Coturnix japonica: one gene and its partners. The protein of the gene in region 2 binds, or shares a complex with, the protein of the main gene of each other region. Links are inferred from orthologs where the notes say so. Each region holds a gene or a part of one and is shown on either strand. Other genes may lie near its edges.

What was found. The genes of interacting proteins can lie anywhere in the genome.
Region 1: PHLDB2 (region 2) and PPFIBP1 share a complex: the UniProt entries of both Homo sapiens proteins name them as parts of the cortical microtubule stabilization complex. The link is inferred for Coturnix japonica from reciprocal best matches to the Homo sapiens genes PHLDB2 and PPFIBP1.
Region 3: PHLDB2 (region 2) and PPFIA1 share a complex: the UniProt entries of both Homo sapiens proteins name them as parts of the cortical microtubule stabilization complex. The link is inferred for Coturnix japonica from reciprocal best matches to the Homo sapiens genes PHLDB2 and PPFIA1.

What each region holds. Positions count from the first base shown.
Region 1 is NC_029516.1:62,759,296-62,764,547, reverse strand, and holds part of PPFIBP1 (liprin-beta-1), read right to left. Parts: intron 4,461-5,252; coding exon 4,428-4,460; intron 3,294-4,427; coding exon 3,119-3,293; intron 1,651-3,118; coding exon 1,618-1,650; intron 1-1,617. UniProt on the Homo sapiens protein: May regulate the disassembly of focal adhesions. Did not bind receptor-like tyrosine phosphatases type 2A.
Region 2 is NC_029516.1:79,337,951-79,343,691, reverse strand, and holds the start of PHLDB2 (pleckstrin homology-like domain family B member 2), read right to left. Parts: upstream 3,357-5,741; 5' UTR 3,215-3,356; intron 1-3,214. UniProt on the Homo sapiens protein: Seems to be involved in the assembly of the postsynaptic apparatus. May play a role in acetyl-choline receptor (AChR) aggregation in the postsynaptic membrane.
Region 3 is NC_029520.1:6,924,772-6,930,023, forward strand, and holds part of PPFIA1 (liprin-alpha-1), read right to left. Parts: intron 4,994-5,252; coding exon 4,925-4,993; intron 3,331-4,924; coding exon 3,165-3,330; intron 2,085-3,164; coding exon 2,026-2,084; 3' UTR 2,014-2,025; intron 736-2,013; coding exon of another isoform or gene 710-735; 3' UTR 1-709. UniProt on the Homo sapiens protein: May regulate the disassembly of focal adhesions. May localize receptor-like tyrosine phosphatases type 2A at specific sites on the plasma membrane, possibly regulating their interaction with the extracellular environment and their association with substrates.

The DNA of each region.
Region 1 (5,252 bases), about 17 Mb from region 2:
ACCACTAAGTCTACACTCTGTCTGAACTTCATTTTTCCTTTGAAGGGATGCATAGAGCATCTCCGTATCTACACACTACTTCCCACGTGAAAAGTTGGATCTGTAGCCCTTGTTTTCCACTGACAACAAATCTAAAGGTTCCTGTCTACAAAAGTGAAACTGTGACAAAATTGTTTAGTAAAAGCTGAAATAACAAAGCAAAAGACTACTTAAGACCATTTAAAAGGAAACAAATTGCAATATCTAGAAGACTACACAAGCAGAGGTGTGCCAGCAAAGTGCCAGATAGCTGAAGAAAGTCACCATGTGGAGCTGATGACACTCGCTGAGAAACAGCATCAGCCTGTTGAGGTGAAACAGTTGTGGCAAGGCAGCCTGCAGCCACTTTTACCACCTTTTCACATAGCTACATAATAAGATCACCATCGTGTTTTTCAAATGGACCCTCAAACTTGCAGGAGAAAACCAAATAAATCACACAAATCAAGCTAGAACATCTATTGCTGGGACACGTGGTCTCAAGAGTATCTTCCTGCAGGGCAAAGTTTTAGGTATTTCAGATGGACTATGCATGAACTTGTCCCATTTTCTTCCAGAGAAAGTGAAAATCTTGTAGTGAGGGAACAAGGCCATATGCAAGATGATTTTGGGAGCACTCTGGTTTGACTGCTATTGAACAATGAGGCAATCTTGCTGGTGAGAGAGAGCAGCATATCAAACAAAGCTTTTGCACTTGTGGATTCTGCTTTACTTGTGTAAGAAAAAGTTCTACCCTAGAAAAAACAACAACAAAAAATACATATTTAAATAGCAGTCTAAAGAGAGAATACTAAGACAAGGCTAGATACATTAGTAGCAGAGATTTGCGGGTATTGCAATGGTCGCTCCATGTACATTGCTCCCTGATGCATAACCCCAGGAGAAGCCAATCAAGGTAAACCAAGAAAGGGCCAAGAGGACTCGTGTCTCTTTGTCAGCAAAGGCCACAGGCAACTACTGTGCCACCACATCTGCAAGCTCCCCTTGCTAATACCTGGCCCTGCTGCTCCTCTCTGCCCTTGCCAGAACCACCCAGGGAACACTCACATCATGAGGCCAGTTTTTACTATACTAATGGCTCCATCTAAATCTGTCCCAGTTATTTCTCATTCATTTATTACACAATAAATGTAGGTATTTCTTAAAAGAGAACTTACCCTTTCACTCAGAGTTCCCCTAAATGAATTCCTGAGAAATAAGTACACTCAATGTCCTATTTTACAACCCTTCAAGCTTTCCCAGGGGGCTCTAGGATGGACACAGAGGCACCCCTGGTGTTCATACACTGTTGTTTCCCTGTTGCTGTCTTGGTCTGTAAATAACTTTGTGCTCAAAGTTACAGTAAAGGTCTCTGCAAATTAACCCGCAATCTCTCATTAGTAGCAGTTATCAAGAAATGGCACAGCTGACTTTTAGCAGAGGGCAGATGTTACATGAAAACTCCTTTTAGCGATGCACAGGTGTTTGATGCAGAGCTCTGGTGTCTAGCTTTTATTTGAAAAGTGTGTGGCTACATCCAGCCATCAGCAACAGCCACAGCACAGCGCTGGTACAGGCAGACATGCAGGATTACTGTACCTAAAGTAGGGGCGCTTGCACTTCGACTGCGATCTTCAGATATCCAAACAACGCACATAACCACACGCAGCACAAAGGGAGAGAACACGCAGAAGGACAAGGTAAAACATATTTCAAAACTTACATCAACAAAATACAAGACAACAGGAGGGAGGTAAATGAGACACATACGTCACACACAAGAATGAATCACGCAGAGATTAGGATAAACAATTCACTGTTCATCTCTCTCTTAGTAAATGAATGCAGTAGAGCTCCTTGTTGGAGAGGGTAAACCAGCACCTCATTCTTTGCAGTGCAGGGAGGCCACCCACTCTGCAACTCACACGGGCTCCTGTGGGGTGGCAAGAATCTAGGCACCAACTTTATAGGTGGATGCAATGAAAGCTGGATAACAATCACTCAAATTCACAGGAGCCTGATCTAGATGGCTCATCTTCCAATCCTTTAGGACAGCCACAAGACCTCCATCTTGTTAGACAAATTAATCACAGGGTGAAACAGGTGATTACACACAAACACAGACAAAATAAACCAAAGCAAAGAGTCTAACCCTCAGAATAGATTGCACATCTATTCCAAGTACGCTAGAAAGTTCCCATGCCATATGACAAGGGAAAATAGGGGCAATGCATAATAAATGTGTGGGTATGTTGGTTCATTTGAAAAAAAAGATCTAGAATTGTCATTGATAAGTAAAAGCAATAAATTCTTCTTCTCAACATAGAGGACATTATCTGCCTTTATGCTTCTGAAAGACAAAACCGAATTCCAAATGTTGTGCAACAGAGCCAAAAAGTGTAGATAAATGCCAATAGTTCTGATTCATGACTCACTTAATGCTTGAACTGGAACAGTGGAAAGAATCCTGCAACAAATCAGCTAAAGCAAGTTAGGCTTCAACCGCTGGTAAAAGAAAATTCTGCATTAAGCAGAACATTTTGTTCATTTCTTCACTGTGCAAATGACAAGACCAAAACAGAAAACCCTCCCACACAAGTCCAGGACTCAAAATGAGCTTGAATAACTTTACCAATATTATTCTTTTTCTCACAATCTCTTTTGCAAGGTTACATAAACACATAAAACAAAGTGGAAGACTGACTGCAGCTGCCTCATTTCTGTACATTTCTGTACATCTTATGAAAGATAAACTGGAGATGGAGCCAAGGAAAAAAAGATCCACAAATCCCAGACAGCCAGCAATTCAAAACTGTAGTAACGTATTACATGGTCTCAGAGGAGATAACACAGCAGAGGTGAAAACAAATGAACTAAGTTGTTACATCAGTGAAGTTTTCTCCGTTCTTTGGCTGTTGCTTGACTTTTTGCAACCATTTTACTGTGATACACATCACCATATCATAGCAAGATGAAGGCTGGCTTTTCAGCTCTTAAGGACAGTTACATCACTTAGAAAAATATTTTTTTATTAATTTATCTGTTATTGGAAACATTGTTAGATACATACATGATTTGCATTTAGGTGTACAATACTTACCTAGATTGGGGGCACTTGCAGTCCTCTTATTGTTTTTTATCTTGAAAAAGCCTCGTCCAAAGGAAGATCTGGCTTTACGGGTGCCAAAACTGTCCTCATCTCCTGTGATGCCATGAGAAGGAGATTTTGGAGGGAGAGTGGCGAAATTATTACCTTCCATGCGAGGTTTAGCCTGCTAAAGTTAGGAAAACAAACAGTCAATATCAGGGAACTGCAAAAGACCTTTGAGGAAGATGCAAAGTAATCACTGCCATATAATCTGGAGAGTCACTCGATCTCACTTGTTACTATGGGAAAACATTACAAAAACCATAAAGAACAGACAAGATCTTCAGTTGAACAAGTTCAGGACTTGAGATTACTATCACTAAATTCTAAGACTAACATGCCATTTCGAAGATGTTGCTCATTTTCTGCAAGCGCAGCTTACATGTACTAAAAAGGTAAAAATACAACCCTATAAGGCTTTGACAGCTGTAGCAACAGAGGAAGCAAAGAAAGAGACAAGACCCTCACGCTGAATTGGATCTCTGGCAAGTTCTGGACAGCCCCTTCCAGCTGTCATCACTTTGCAATTTCAGAATGATTTAACTAATTGACTCTGCCAACTGTCCAAGCTGAGAGGAAAATAGGCAACAAAGCAAGGAGTAAAAATGACAGGAACTGAAATCTGAAACATCACATAACCAATTTAAAGTAATAGTTTCAACCTTCTTGGTTGTTTCACTGTTTCTTTAAAAAGTGAAAAATCCATTCATAATCCAAAAAAGATCCTTTGGCTTTTGCTGAATGGACCCTAGAGTGGTGTCTGATGTAGGTGTTCTCTGTTCAGATCTTCATCCATGCAATAACTGCTGCATGCAAACTATGCCATACAGTACCATAGGCTAGCTCTTCTGCAATGACAGTCTCTTTAAGAACACAGTTGTTACAGAAAACAATTTGGAAACCCAAGGGTTTTTAGAGATACTAATCAAAGGTAATTACACAGTCAGTATAATAGTTAATGGCTAGCTTTGCTAATTATCAAGTGGTAGAACATGTGAGGGAAACATTAGATGTGATGGCAACCTTATGCTCAATAAAACTGAAAGATAATCCTTGTGGGAAAAGAAAGGAATGTGTGAGACACCCTAAGCCTGATTCAGAAGTGATTGCGGCAATCATCGTATACTCCTGACTGCATGTCAGCTTTTCCCCCTTTGGAACTGAATACTGCAATTTCAGATGACTGAGCCTTCCAACATCCATGCTGCCCATGCTTCTCCACATATACACACAAGTGCGTGGCCACACACACACACATTACCTCTGTCGGCTTTTGTGAAGCAGAGTCTCTGTCCTGTTTGAGAAAGATTAAGAAACACATTAAAAAGTCACAGTTTATATTAAGTATTCAGTTCATTATGGTCACCCTAAGTCGAATGATTACTGAAATACCCTTCTCTGCATTCTTTTTTTCCTAAAACAAATCTCTTCAAAACTGTATTAGTTCAGATTAATTCTTACTTTTTTCATGTCAGTGAGCTGACATGAAAATACAGTTGCTTTAGTTTACTTTGGAAAGCATTAGCTGTGTTTATAATTAGCCACATGCAGCCTGTCAGGCACAAACAGTCACAGTCAGCTGAGGAGACCCAAAGCTAGAATCAGGCAGGGTAATAGCCAAACATCCACAGTCTCCACTTCTTGGCTGTTCGAACAAACCAACCTCCCTACCCAGCAACTCACGAATTCTAGCTTTTATCACCAAGTTCTGCTCACATCTTCAATCGCGTCAGCATCTTTTTTAAGTTGCAAAGTGTGGCTCAGCAACTTGGGTATCAGATATTTGAGGAGTTTTAACAGTTTAGGTTGTCACACAAAAAAAACAAACATGAGAATCTCAGGTGAACACCTCCAGCCCAAGAAAGCCTATTTTTTAATTTTTTTTTTATTAAATCTGCAAGATGTGACATATCAGTGATCACTGCTAATGCATGACGTGACAAGTCTTGCTGTATGGGAACTGTTCAGTCGTGGCCTGAACCACTGATTGAGCACCTGGGGAAAGGACCAAGTCAGACCTGGGAGCACGGGTGAAGGCAATTCAGCTGTGTGATCGGAAGGGGTGGAGCCTGGCTGCACCACTCTT
Region 2 (5,741 bases):
GGAGATCTATCTGAGTATTTCCATATGCTGAGCTGAGCCTGATATTTCTGCATCATTTCTCCCAGGCAGATGGACAGATGGTGGAACGTGGTCCTGTTATTTTTGTTTATTTATTTTGAAACAAAACCTTTTGATTTCATTGCAACCCCATCAACATCCATTTCCTTGTATCAGTGAGAACACTGGAGAAGGTAGCACCTCATTTGCTTGCCTTGAGCTCCAGGTTGCTGGATTCCTGGTGACTCTCTTGGCTTTTATTCAGTTAGACAGCAAGTATTTTTATTTCGCTGGGACTTTCTTGATGTCTTCCCTATGCATCTGCTTTGATGTCTTTCTGGTTTCTCTCCCACGTGAACTATGTTCAGCCACCTGCACCTTAATTCAGCATGTTATCAAACCCTCCACCCACACAGCACAGGTTTTTGAACAGCTTTGCGTGTACCCATAGTTTTGGGGTGGTGGCTCCTATTGTTTCAGCTATCTATTCCATAAAACCTAATTGCACTTTACGAATAAAATGAAGGGTGGTTGTTACACCCACTACCTTCAGCAAGTCTTCACACAGCTGCCAGCATCACAATATGTGCATTTTCTATACCCAGACAAGCCACTGCAATTACAGTCCTCAGAAGTGCTCAACAGGACACTAACCACTGAGAACTCGGTTTTTCTCAGACACACTAATATGCTCTCATGAAACTCCCAAAACTGCTGAGCTTTTTCTTCCATCTTCTTGCAGCAAGGAAGTCCTGTATTTATGTGCACCGTCTCCTTTACGCTGATAGTGTCTAAATCCTACAGCAAAACCATCCCTTCCACTCTTTAAATCAGTCTCCCCACATATTTCTCCAGTTTAATCTACCAGTGAACTTTCCTTTTTGCTGCAAAAGCTGAACTTTCCTTATCCATAGGTGCATAACTTTGTGAAACACATTTCAAAATGTCTGGCATCGTCAGCTAGTGTCAGTGTGGCTAGCTGGCAGCATAGCCAGAGCACTTTTGGCAATGAATGGAAGGGTTTTATATATCTGGTGAGCTCTCAGCCATGGGACACCCGTGTTCAAGTTCCTGCTCTGTCCATCTGAGAGGGTCTGCAGTCTAAACCTCTGAGGTGTGCAGAACTACCACAGTAAAGTGGGATGTTTCCTGCATCAAGGCAGTGTTTGATACCATAAAATACCTTTTCACTAATTGAAATGTCCTGTTAAGAGTCCAAAAGAGGACATTAAGGCAAGAAATATATATATGTAAAAATCAGTAACATTTCAAAGGGTTCTCCTTTCACTCCAGCATAGAATAAACAAATTTTAAAGCCTCTGGATCTGCTAAGGAACAAGCATCGTACTCCAGCAGCAATAGAACTGCAGCCTGAATAGCAACAGGATGCTAGAGAAAGCATCCTGGCCTAGAACAGAGATGTCCTTTATCTGACACAGGAAATTTATCAACTTTGGAGCTTTTCCACATAAAACAGAAACATGCATGAGTGCTGCTTGCCAAGACCTGCTGCATGCAGCACACAAAAGAACAGCGTGTCATGGAAATAAATGAGCCGCTTCCTTGCACAAGTGCTGTATTCTTCAGCCCGGCGGTCATGCCCTGGCAGGAACCTCACCTGGCACCTATTTTTGTCAGCCAACCGGTCATAACCCGGAGGCAACATGTTGCTCAGGAGAGATTCAAATAAACGATTCACAGTAACAAGGGGAATTCAATGCACAGGCAGGCTTTGGAAATCCCATGGAAGGTTTCTCTGGTGAGTGATGAGAGGGTTGCAAAAATGCTTAAGTGCATCTGGGAAGTACCAGAACCCACACCTGGTCCACCCCAGGAAATTGCCTCATCATCAAGCAAAACAGTCGTGCTCCCTCTTGCTTTATCTCTCTGTGGCTTGATGAGTCTTCCTTTGCTGGCTAGATCATGACTCCACATCAATAGGCGAGGAGTGTCTCCGTGCCAGATCACACCCTAAGTAAGCAAATTACCTTGCACACGCAGTCTAAATTTGAACTGCCTGAGGCAGGGATGTGGTCCATGCTGTGCTGATTCTGATATCCCTCGCACCCTGAATGAGAATTAGGTGTTGTCACAGCTCAGACAAGGACAACACACTTCCCACATACAGAGATACCGTAGATGCCTGAGCTCAAACCATGAATCCTGATTTCATATCATTCCTGATTTCAAAGTCATAAGCATGCACTTGATCCATGAGAACACAGGAACTTCTGACACATTTGTGTTAACACTCTTTCTTTGTCCATTTGCTATCCACAATAGGTTATGAATCCCCTCTTTGGTTACCTGGACCAGGACTGTGAAATCCAATACAAACACAGGCTATTGAAAAGTTAGACATTTAGCGACTCCATGCACCCGCATCTGTGCTGCTGTTGTCTGTAATGGCATGTGCTGTAATACAGCTCTGCAAAGGGTGTGTGCTGCTAGCTGGGAATTTTCTAACTTTCAAGTGCTCAGTTCTTTTTTAACAAGGCTTTAAAATATACCTTGATGTTTTTCTAAGAGGAAGTTCAGAAAAGTAGGGAAATGATATTACATGGAAATTTCAGAACTTAGCTCAAAACTCTAGAGCTCTGGATGCCTGGTAAAATACACTTGTGAGCCAATTTCACCTCTCTGCTTTAAGCAAAAGGTACTAATACTTCCCTCCAAAAAGGCTCAAAGATTTCTTACCACAAATACACACATTTCCCACTCTATGTTCGGTAGCCCTTGGTGAAATATTTAGTGAATTCAGCTTGTGGCAAGTGTCCCATTTACTGAAACGTTCATCCTTGGTTTGTGAAGTTTATCAAATACAAAACAATTACATTAAAAGCTAAGGCAGCCTCAGAAGGTGAGGAGATTGATAGCAGTGTGGTGGAGCTGAGCCAGCGTGAAACCATCACAGTGTCGGTACCTGCTCTTTCAATAACAACATAGTGCTCCTCAAAAAATGACTGAATGCATGGATCCTTACAGCGGTTTAAAAATAGGTAGAATAGATAGAGCTTTTGCCTTATGATCACATATGAGCTGGCAAAAGAGAGCAGGCAACAGAACTGGCTGTTCTACCTTGGCAACACATCATCCCCCCGAATTATCCATGCCTTCTGCAATCTCTTATTACACTGGCTGACCTAAGAAACAACAGCCTCTCCTCCAAGACAAAGACAGTAGAGAGAGTCCTCATCAACAAAAGGTTTGAGCTCACCTTCACAACCCCACGGTGATCGTTCACACAAGGGATCTGCACCCCTCCTGTCTCGCCATCGCATTCAGAAAGCTGGGGCTAAGATTCAGGATTTCATAGATGAAGACGTAGAAAAAGTTCTCCGGCTCAGAACGCTCACTGAAGCTGCTGGAAGGCAGAATAATCATAGAGAGGGAGCCAAGTCATACTGATATTGTATGGAGCCTATTTGGAGGCTTGGCCTTAATTAGCATATAAATGAAGCGGTACACGCAGTCGCAGCTTGCCAGAAAATGAGACAGAATAATCTCCCCAATTTGGCAGCTCTCTAGAGCATTTAGTTTGTGAATGAGGAGCCAGGCACTCTTTGAAGCCAAGCTGGGTCCGCAGCTTACAGCCAATTGACTTTACATGGTGAAAATGGGTCTTGGAAAACAGTGAAGCAGACCAGCACTTCTTCTGCTCTTGAACTAAGTTTCTATTATAGGAAAGTGACTTTAAAGTTATTCAGCACAGTTTCACCTGATAGCATTTCACCTACTGCCTGTGCAGGCCCAGATGAGATGTGGTACGGACTTCCGACTGAAGAGTCCTGGCTATTAACAGAGTGCTTGATTTTATTCCAAGTAAAGGAGAAGGAACTGAAAGTTCACAGGAAAAATGATATGAAGAAGATGTGACCACCGAGCTGCTGAGCTTAGACAGGCAGAAATTGTACTTACTTAGAGATCTTTATTTGGATAACAAGTAAAGAGACAAAAATAGAAATGAATACTTTCAAAAACTGGCATACATAGAGGGAATGAGTTGTTGCATTTACTTGTATAGCCTATGCAGTCCTTTTAAGGTATTTCTATTAAGACAGAAGGAAGATGGCTTGTGTTTTTGTGCAAACGCCTTTCACATTCATTAGGGTTTAGTTTTCCTCCTTTAAATATTTTCAATTGTCAGGAGCTCGGCTCAGATGCAAAAGCAAGGAAATCTAAGCACAATGGCATGCAGATTTTTCCAAGAGCAGTGCAGTCCTGCTCCTATAGCTACACAGTCTATGCTTTGGGGGAGATCAGATTTCTAGGAGAGAAAGGAAAACAGATTTAAACATAGGTAAAACATATGAGAAAAATCAATACCAGGCAAAGATAGTCTTTTTTTTTTTTCCCCTTCCGACATTTTAAATACACTCTGATTTAAGAAAGCTGACTTGAAAAGAAATATCCATTCTCCATTTGCATCAGCAAGCGCAGTCAAGCCTAGACTGTACTGTACCTTCTGTTTTTCATCCCGGAAGAAACATTTCTCTTCATTAGAATCTTGGAGTTATAGGAAGATCTTACAGGTCTCAAGGAGGCTGTTGAATTAAAAACCTCATTACATCCCTTAGCTAGCTCGTGGCTCCCTCGTGCACCAGCTTAGCCCCTTCTCACGTTTGAGCTCCAATTTAGTGCTTTGTTATGATGCTGTAGCAGCTGCAGCCTGTAATTGCGCAGATGGCTGGTTCTTTGCAGATGTTCTGGGCTTCACAGCACCTGTGAGTGAGGTGATCTGCTCGGAGTCCCCCTTGCCCGTTTTGTTAATGCTACCACCCCCTGGGCAATCTGCTTTCTCGGTAAGGCATTTCTGGCAGAGCTGGTATGTCAAGGGTGGTTTCTGAGCCGAGTTTCTGGAAAATATCCCATTCAAGTTTCAACAAGGGAGAAATATTTCATTGAGGAATTACTGTTTAACCCTCCCTCACAAAACAAGGAGCAAAGTGGTTCATCAAAAAAGAATACAGCAGAATGAAATAATCCCATGAGTCAGTGTTGAACCAGAGTTATGATGTAAATCTGCTAGTGACTCCAACATGCATCTGCTTAAATTAAAGGGCAAAACCGCTCTAATCTTGTTAGGTCTTGCATATTCTGACAACAAGACCTGAACTGGAACGGCAACATAATTTTCCACTTCTCTCCACACTTTGCTTTCTTGTGGTCAAAATCTAAGAGTGGCTCTGGCAAAAGAAAAACAAAGAAAAAAGAGAGGGCTGCTTCCCAAAATTTCCCCTTCATAAATAGGTTTCTGATTAGTGCTTCTAGGCACGTAACATCACCTCCAAAAGTCATGAACATCTTATGACCATGACCTACAGCTTGGAAATTACAGCTTACTATGAAGATACCAGCTCTGTCCTAAATGCACCCACAAAACATCCTGCAAAAATCTTGGCTTTTCCTTTTACTTTTCCCTCTCCCTTCCTCGCCTCAAAAAAAAAAAGAGCAGAAAGCAGAGCAATGTTGCTCAGTAGGCATGAGTAACAGCCGTTACATGGAGTGCACAAAGGTGCCTAGAGAAGCTGAAAAGCTATGGATGCTCCATCACTGGAGGTGTTCAAGGCCAGGCGGGTTGAGGCCCTGCATAGTCTGACCCGGGGGGCAGCAGTCCTACCCACAACTGAGGGCTGGAACTAGATGATCTTTGATGTCCCTTCCAACCTGAGCCATCCTATGATTTGGTTTATATTGTCTCAGCTCTTCAAGGCCCCAGCTCCATCTACAGTCCAGGAGCGCTC
Region 3 (5,252 bases), on a different chromosome or scaffold from region 2:
ATGGCTTGTTCTCAGTCACTGTGAAGACATGCTATACAAATACAGCAGAGACACAGTTATGACCGAGTCAATCACTTGTAAAATGTGTTCCGTAGCGTTTGAGTTCTTCTCAGCTTTTCAAACAAGTTCTATTTTAAATAAAGACAAATTCCCACTACTTGACAATTCCTCTGTGGAAAGGTACACTTCCGAAAAGAACAATTATGTACCATACCTTCAACAACAACATACGCTTGCCTGAAAAAAAGCTGGACTTGTTTTCAGATCTAGCTAACATTTCCAAAAGACAAAATATATACTGCTTGGTGTCATGATACTTTTACAAAGGTATTAAAATTCTTTTCACCTTCAGTTTCATTATTAAAAAACAATGATAATTACAGTAACTGCATAATTTACAAAAACCCTACATTATTTATAGGGACATATACATACAAGCATTACAGTACATTCAGTTGGAAAGACTAAAATTAGATTAAAAATCAGCAATGATTCATTGTAGACTGAATAGAAACAGAAAAAAAAAAAGTAAGTAACTATATAAATGAAAAGTCACATAAATATAAGAAACATTTAGATTCTAAAATATTTTCTCTATAGTACTCATGAATTTATTCGCTAATTAAAAACTCTGTAATAAAATATCTCAAAGTGTCCATTTAAGAAGTATTAACAGGTTACGGTTTCCAAATGTTCAAAATGCTGCATATCACCGGTAGAAATAGTGTGGGTAAACTGCAAAATAAAGAAATAATCTGATTAGAATGAAATGTTGTTTACAAAATACCCATTTGTTAAAGTTCCTCACAAACAACTCAGTAGCGTAGCAGTCATGCACCAAATTATTGCCATGCCACAACACACACCATTTCATTGCTGATTATTAATTTCATTTGCAAAGTAAAGCACATGAGGCCAAGTATTTTTACTTCCTAGATTTTCATTCAAGGTCATCCAGATTATAATCCTCCGCACTGTTTCAGAATTTTCTAGCACGTTTATGGGTGAAGACTCCAAGCTTTGGTGTCTTAAAACTAAAAACATGAAGATAACCCCTGATATTATATATACTGTCAGATCCACATAGTCTGAGTTGCTGAGAACTTTTTAGAACTAAACTTGTATATTAAAGGCTCAGGATTTGAAGAAAAGGCAGCCACTATACATGAGTTGGTAGGGATGTTACTGGTGGAAAGAAAGAAGCTGTACACAGAAGAGACAGAGATGGACAATTTATTGCCCATAGATATCTGCTAGTGGCAGTAAGAATATTTTCTCATTGGATTTCTTCTGTATCCAACAGTCAAAAAAAATGTTAGTTTCCAAACTTGTTTGTAAAATAAGATTGTTTGATGAAAAAATACAGCAGAAGCTGATGAAGAAAAATCAACCCAAATCCTCAAGTAAAACAGAACTGAATATGTATTCACTGTTCAGAATACATCCATTGTTTGTTTAAATATCCTTTGTTATCAAGCTGCTTCACTGGCACCACTGTTCCACAATTACCCAGATTTTGGACTGCAGGTAAGTAAATCCAGCCAGACAAACTAAACAATCACAATAGTATGGAGCATCTGAGAGCCAGAAATCAATGTAGTTACCCCATAAAAATTCAATATATAAGTATAGTGCAGTGTATTTCACCAAGCAAAGACCAAAAGAATCTGAATCGCAATACCACAAACTGAGTTTTCTTTTAGCTATATCCCTAATTTAGTTCTCTTCCTCCCCACTTTTGCTACTTGTTTCATTTCACCTTTGACTCCAAAGCTTTCTACACAGTTACTTTGCATGAGTTACTTTCTGAGGTGGTTGAGAAAAAACAACTGAGGAATACAGCGGTGTACAGAAGTAAATAGTGAACCTCAGTTGTCTCGATAAGAAATAAGCTGTGTTCAAAATGCAATCTACTCTCCAAATCGAAAAGCCTTTACAATTCATTCTATTAAAACACCTGACACTTTACTCATAAATAGCTGCTTTACTATTACACCTATCGACTTTACTCACCAGGAGAAGGCTTTAACAGGAGTAGGTCCTTACTGTAGCAGAATCCAATCTTTGTGTTCCTGATACACTGCCTATTTAGAGGCATGGGAAAACATGCAGAACACAGCATGCATGTTAGTTTACAAAAAACATTACAGCAGTGTGATTATAGCTACTGCACTCATTTAACTCAAAGGTTACAAGTTAGAAAACCTAAATTTACTGTACAGTTTATACATTAATCAGTTCTAGTTTCTGCAGCTATCAAAAAGAATCCTAAAAAAAACCTGCATGCCAACTGACACACAATCTTTAATGTAAACCAACTGACATTTTAGGTAGTAAAGGTGGTATCATCAGGTGTAAAGGTCGATTCTTTGACCTTTACTCTAATACACTCCTCAGAACTTGAGACAGCTCTGACAGACTATGAGGAAACTCACACCCTATCTATTCCAATTAAATATATTTTTGATCTGTTTTTTACTTGTTTCATAAGAAAAAGAGAATTTTATTCTCATGCTATTAGACAGACTGCTTTTAAACTGACAATATAATAGGTATGACAGGCGATCGATTCTCACTTCCAAGTGCTGTTTCTTTTCCTTTTCGTACAGTTTTTTGTTGCTCTCTCTTTTACTTTTCCCTTCACATAGAGAGAAGGGACACCCATCCATCCATGTAAATTGCTTTAATAATCAGTTCTAAAATAGAAGTTACAAATATCCTCAAAGGGGGGTGGGGAGGGCGGAAATGCCCTTTTTCTCAAGTTGTAATATTCTCAAAATTATCTGAGAATGTTCATTCATTACATTTCCTGAATGCCATTTCACTGCATTTCAGATGTGGGACCGGTTACGTTGGTCTAATTGCTACTAATTCAAAACCATGCGTCATGTTACAAGACTCCTACCTAAATGTCACTTTATTTTCCCAGTTTAATATAACTTCCTAAATAAAATTATCACAGTTATTCCAATGAAGTAAAAAGAACCTCCTTATCTAATACAGTTCCTGAAATTACAACGCACTCTGTGGTTAAACAGTGTTATAAATACAACCATGCACAAGGCAGATGCTTTCAAGGAGCAAAAAAAGCTCATTTGAACTTCATTCCCCTGTAATCTCAAGCAAGAAAGCACATCATGCTTCAAATAATCCAAAGTAAATACCATCAATCTGCATCTTCTTTGGCTGCATAGAGGGTGAAGACATTGAGGTTGTAACTCTGAAATTTGCAGGAAGAGTCTCTGCTGATCCAGCAGCTAAACCTCTTATGTCCTTTGGTCTAAACTTCTTTCTCCACGAAGGTGCTCGCCTAAAGCTCTTATCGTCATCCTGTTAAAATGATAAACATTAGCAGTTCAAAAATTTAGGATTGTTACCAACATTAAAAGGATTACTGACAATTTAGTTAAATACACCATCATTGAAAGGCTTAATTTTCAACAGCTCAGGTGCAGCTGGTCACTGTTTTCAACAATATGTGCTCATTTACTGGAGTGTAGGCTCTTCATCTAAGTAATTATGCCAATTCATGTCTTTGGCACATCTGGTCTAATGTTTTTACTTCCCGATTTGGAGTAATTTGTGTCATATCAAGCTAAGAATGAGTGATATGAAAAGGAACATATCTTAAAAGCTACATAAGAACACTTAAGAACACTGTTCTTAGGCTGAACAGTTGTTTATAATTTTAGATTTTGTTTTTGTTTGAGTGATGATACAACTACAGCATTTTCTCATGCTACAAATTGCAGGTAATCATAGTGAGGAGAAAAAACAACTAAATACAGTAAATACTGCTGTTCAGAGCTTTGGTTAAACAGTTTGGTAATTACGAGTTAAAGATTCCCAAAGGATTTTTTTCTGCATTCATGTATCTGAATCTTTCAGAAACACTTCGCTATATTCAAATACGACAGTTTAATTAGCTCTGCCAAAAATGCCTTTTGCAACAAATGTCAATGCACAACATCCACTGTGATTTCTTGTCTATTTCACCTTTAGAAACAATTCTATCCTTTGACTGCTATTTTATATAATGCATCACATTTTATAATTAAAATTAGGAGACACATGCCTGCATCATTTGGAAAGATCTTCATAATAAAATACTTTTGCTGCTCATTGTAACCAGAATAGAACACCCCTCCCACAAAGCTTCATTTCCTGCAGAGAGAAATCACTACTGAAAAGTAACTCAGAAAACTTTCAAGCTGTTTTCTGTTAATATTATTAAAAACTTTGCACAGATACATACTAGGCTATCAGGGTGTGCCATACAAGGGCTGCAAGTCTGGCTTCGTATCTTTAAATTCTGGTACCCAAAACTGCACAAGACTCTTGAGGTGAGGATACACCAGCACAGTTTCTCATACATAGCTTGTTAGAGCTTTAGACTTGATACATTAGAATGATGCTTTTACACTGTAAATCACAGACTGTCTAATACAAATTACTTTGATGAGCAAACATTCCTGGTCATCACTCCATACTGCTATTAGTAGAGAGCAACACAAGTCTTCATGAAATACAATCATCTGAAATGCTGTTTATTAGGATAAAGGTTTGAACTATCCTATACAGACTTTCTCAGTTATACTCAGTTCACCTGCAACACTGATTATTGTTTTCCCACATTTCAGATAGAAAAGAACGATTCAACCACAAGTGCGCTGCTGCTAGGCTTAACTATGCAAACTACAGATAAACTTGCAAATCACCTCATGCCTTCACATTCAGAGTTACCTTAGCAAAACACAAAAAACCTGCCACATTCAGAAATTCACAAAGAATTTCCAAGTCCATTTTTTGTCACAATTCTGTCTATAGATCGACAAAGGTCTAGTCAAAGCTACATTCTTTGACTTAACAGTTCTGATAAAAGTTCCTACAAACATAAACCAGCTCAAAAGCTCATGAAACTTACTTCATCGAGTCTTCTGTCAGTGCCCATAACAAGAAGGTTATTAAATTCCCTCTCCAGAACGGCACGAGCCTAAAGTTTAGAGCAGGAAAGAAAAAAAAACCAACATTGCTAAAATGTCAGGAGTCTATAACTTCCTTTAAAACACACATATATATGTGTTTTAACAATATAACACAAAATAACACAAATTGTTTAGGATCTTCTAATCAGAGTATTAAACGTTCTTAACAGTTGAAAAGTAACAGCAGTTTAACTTTCTAAGTCGTAACATCAAAGCTAACGGTATCTTGCTCAAACTTACTTATTTCAGAATAAGATCTAGCAAACA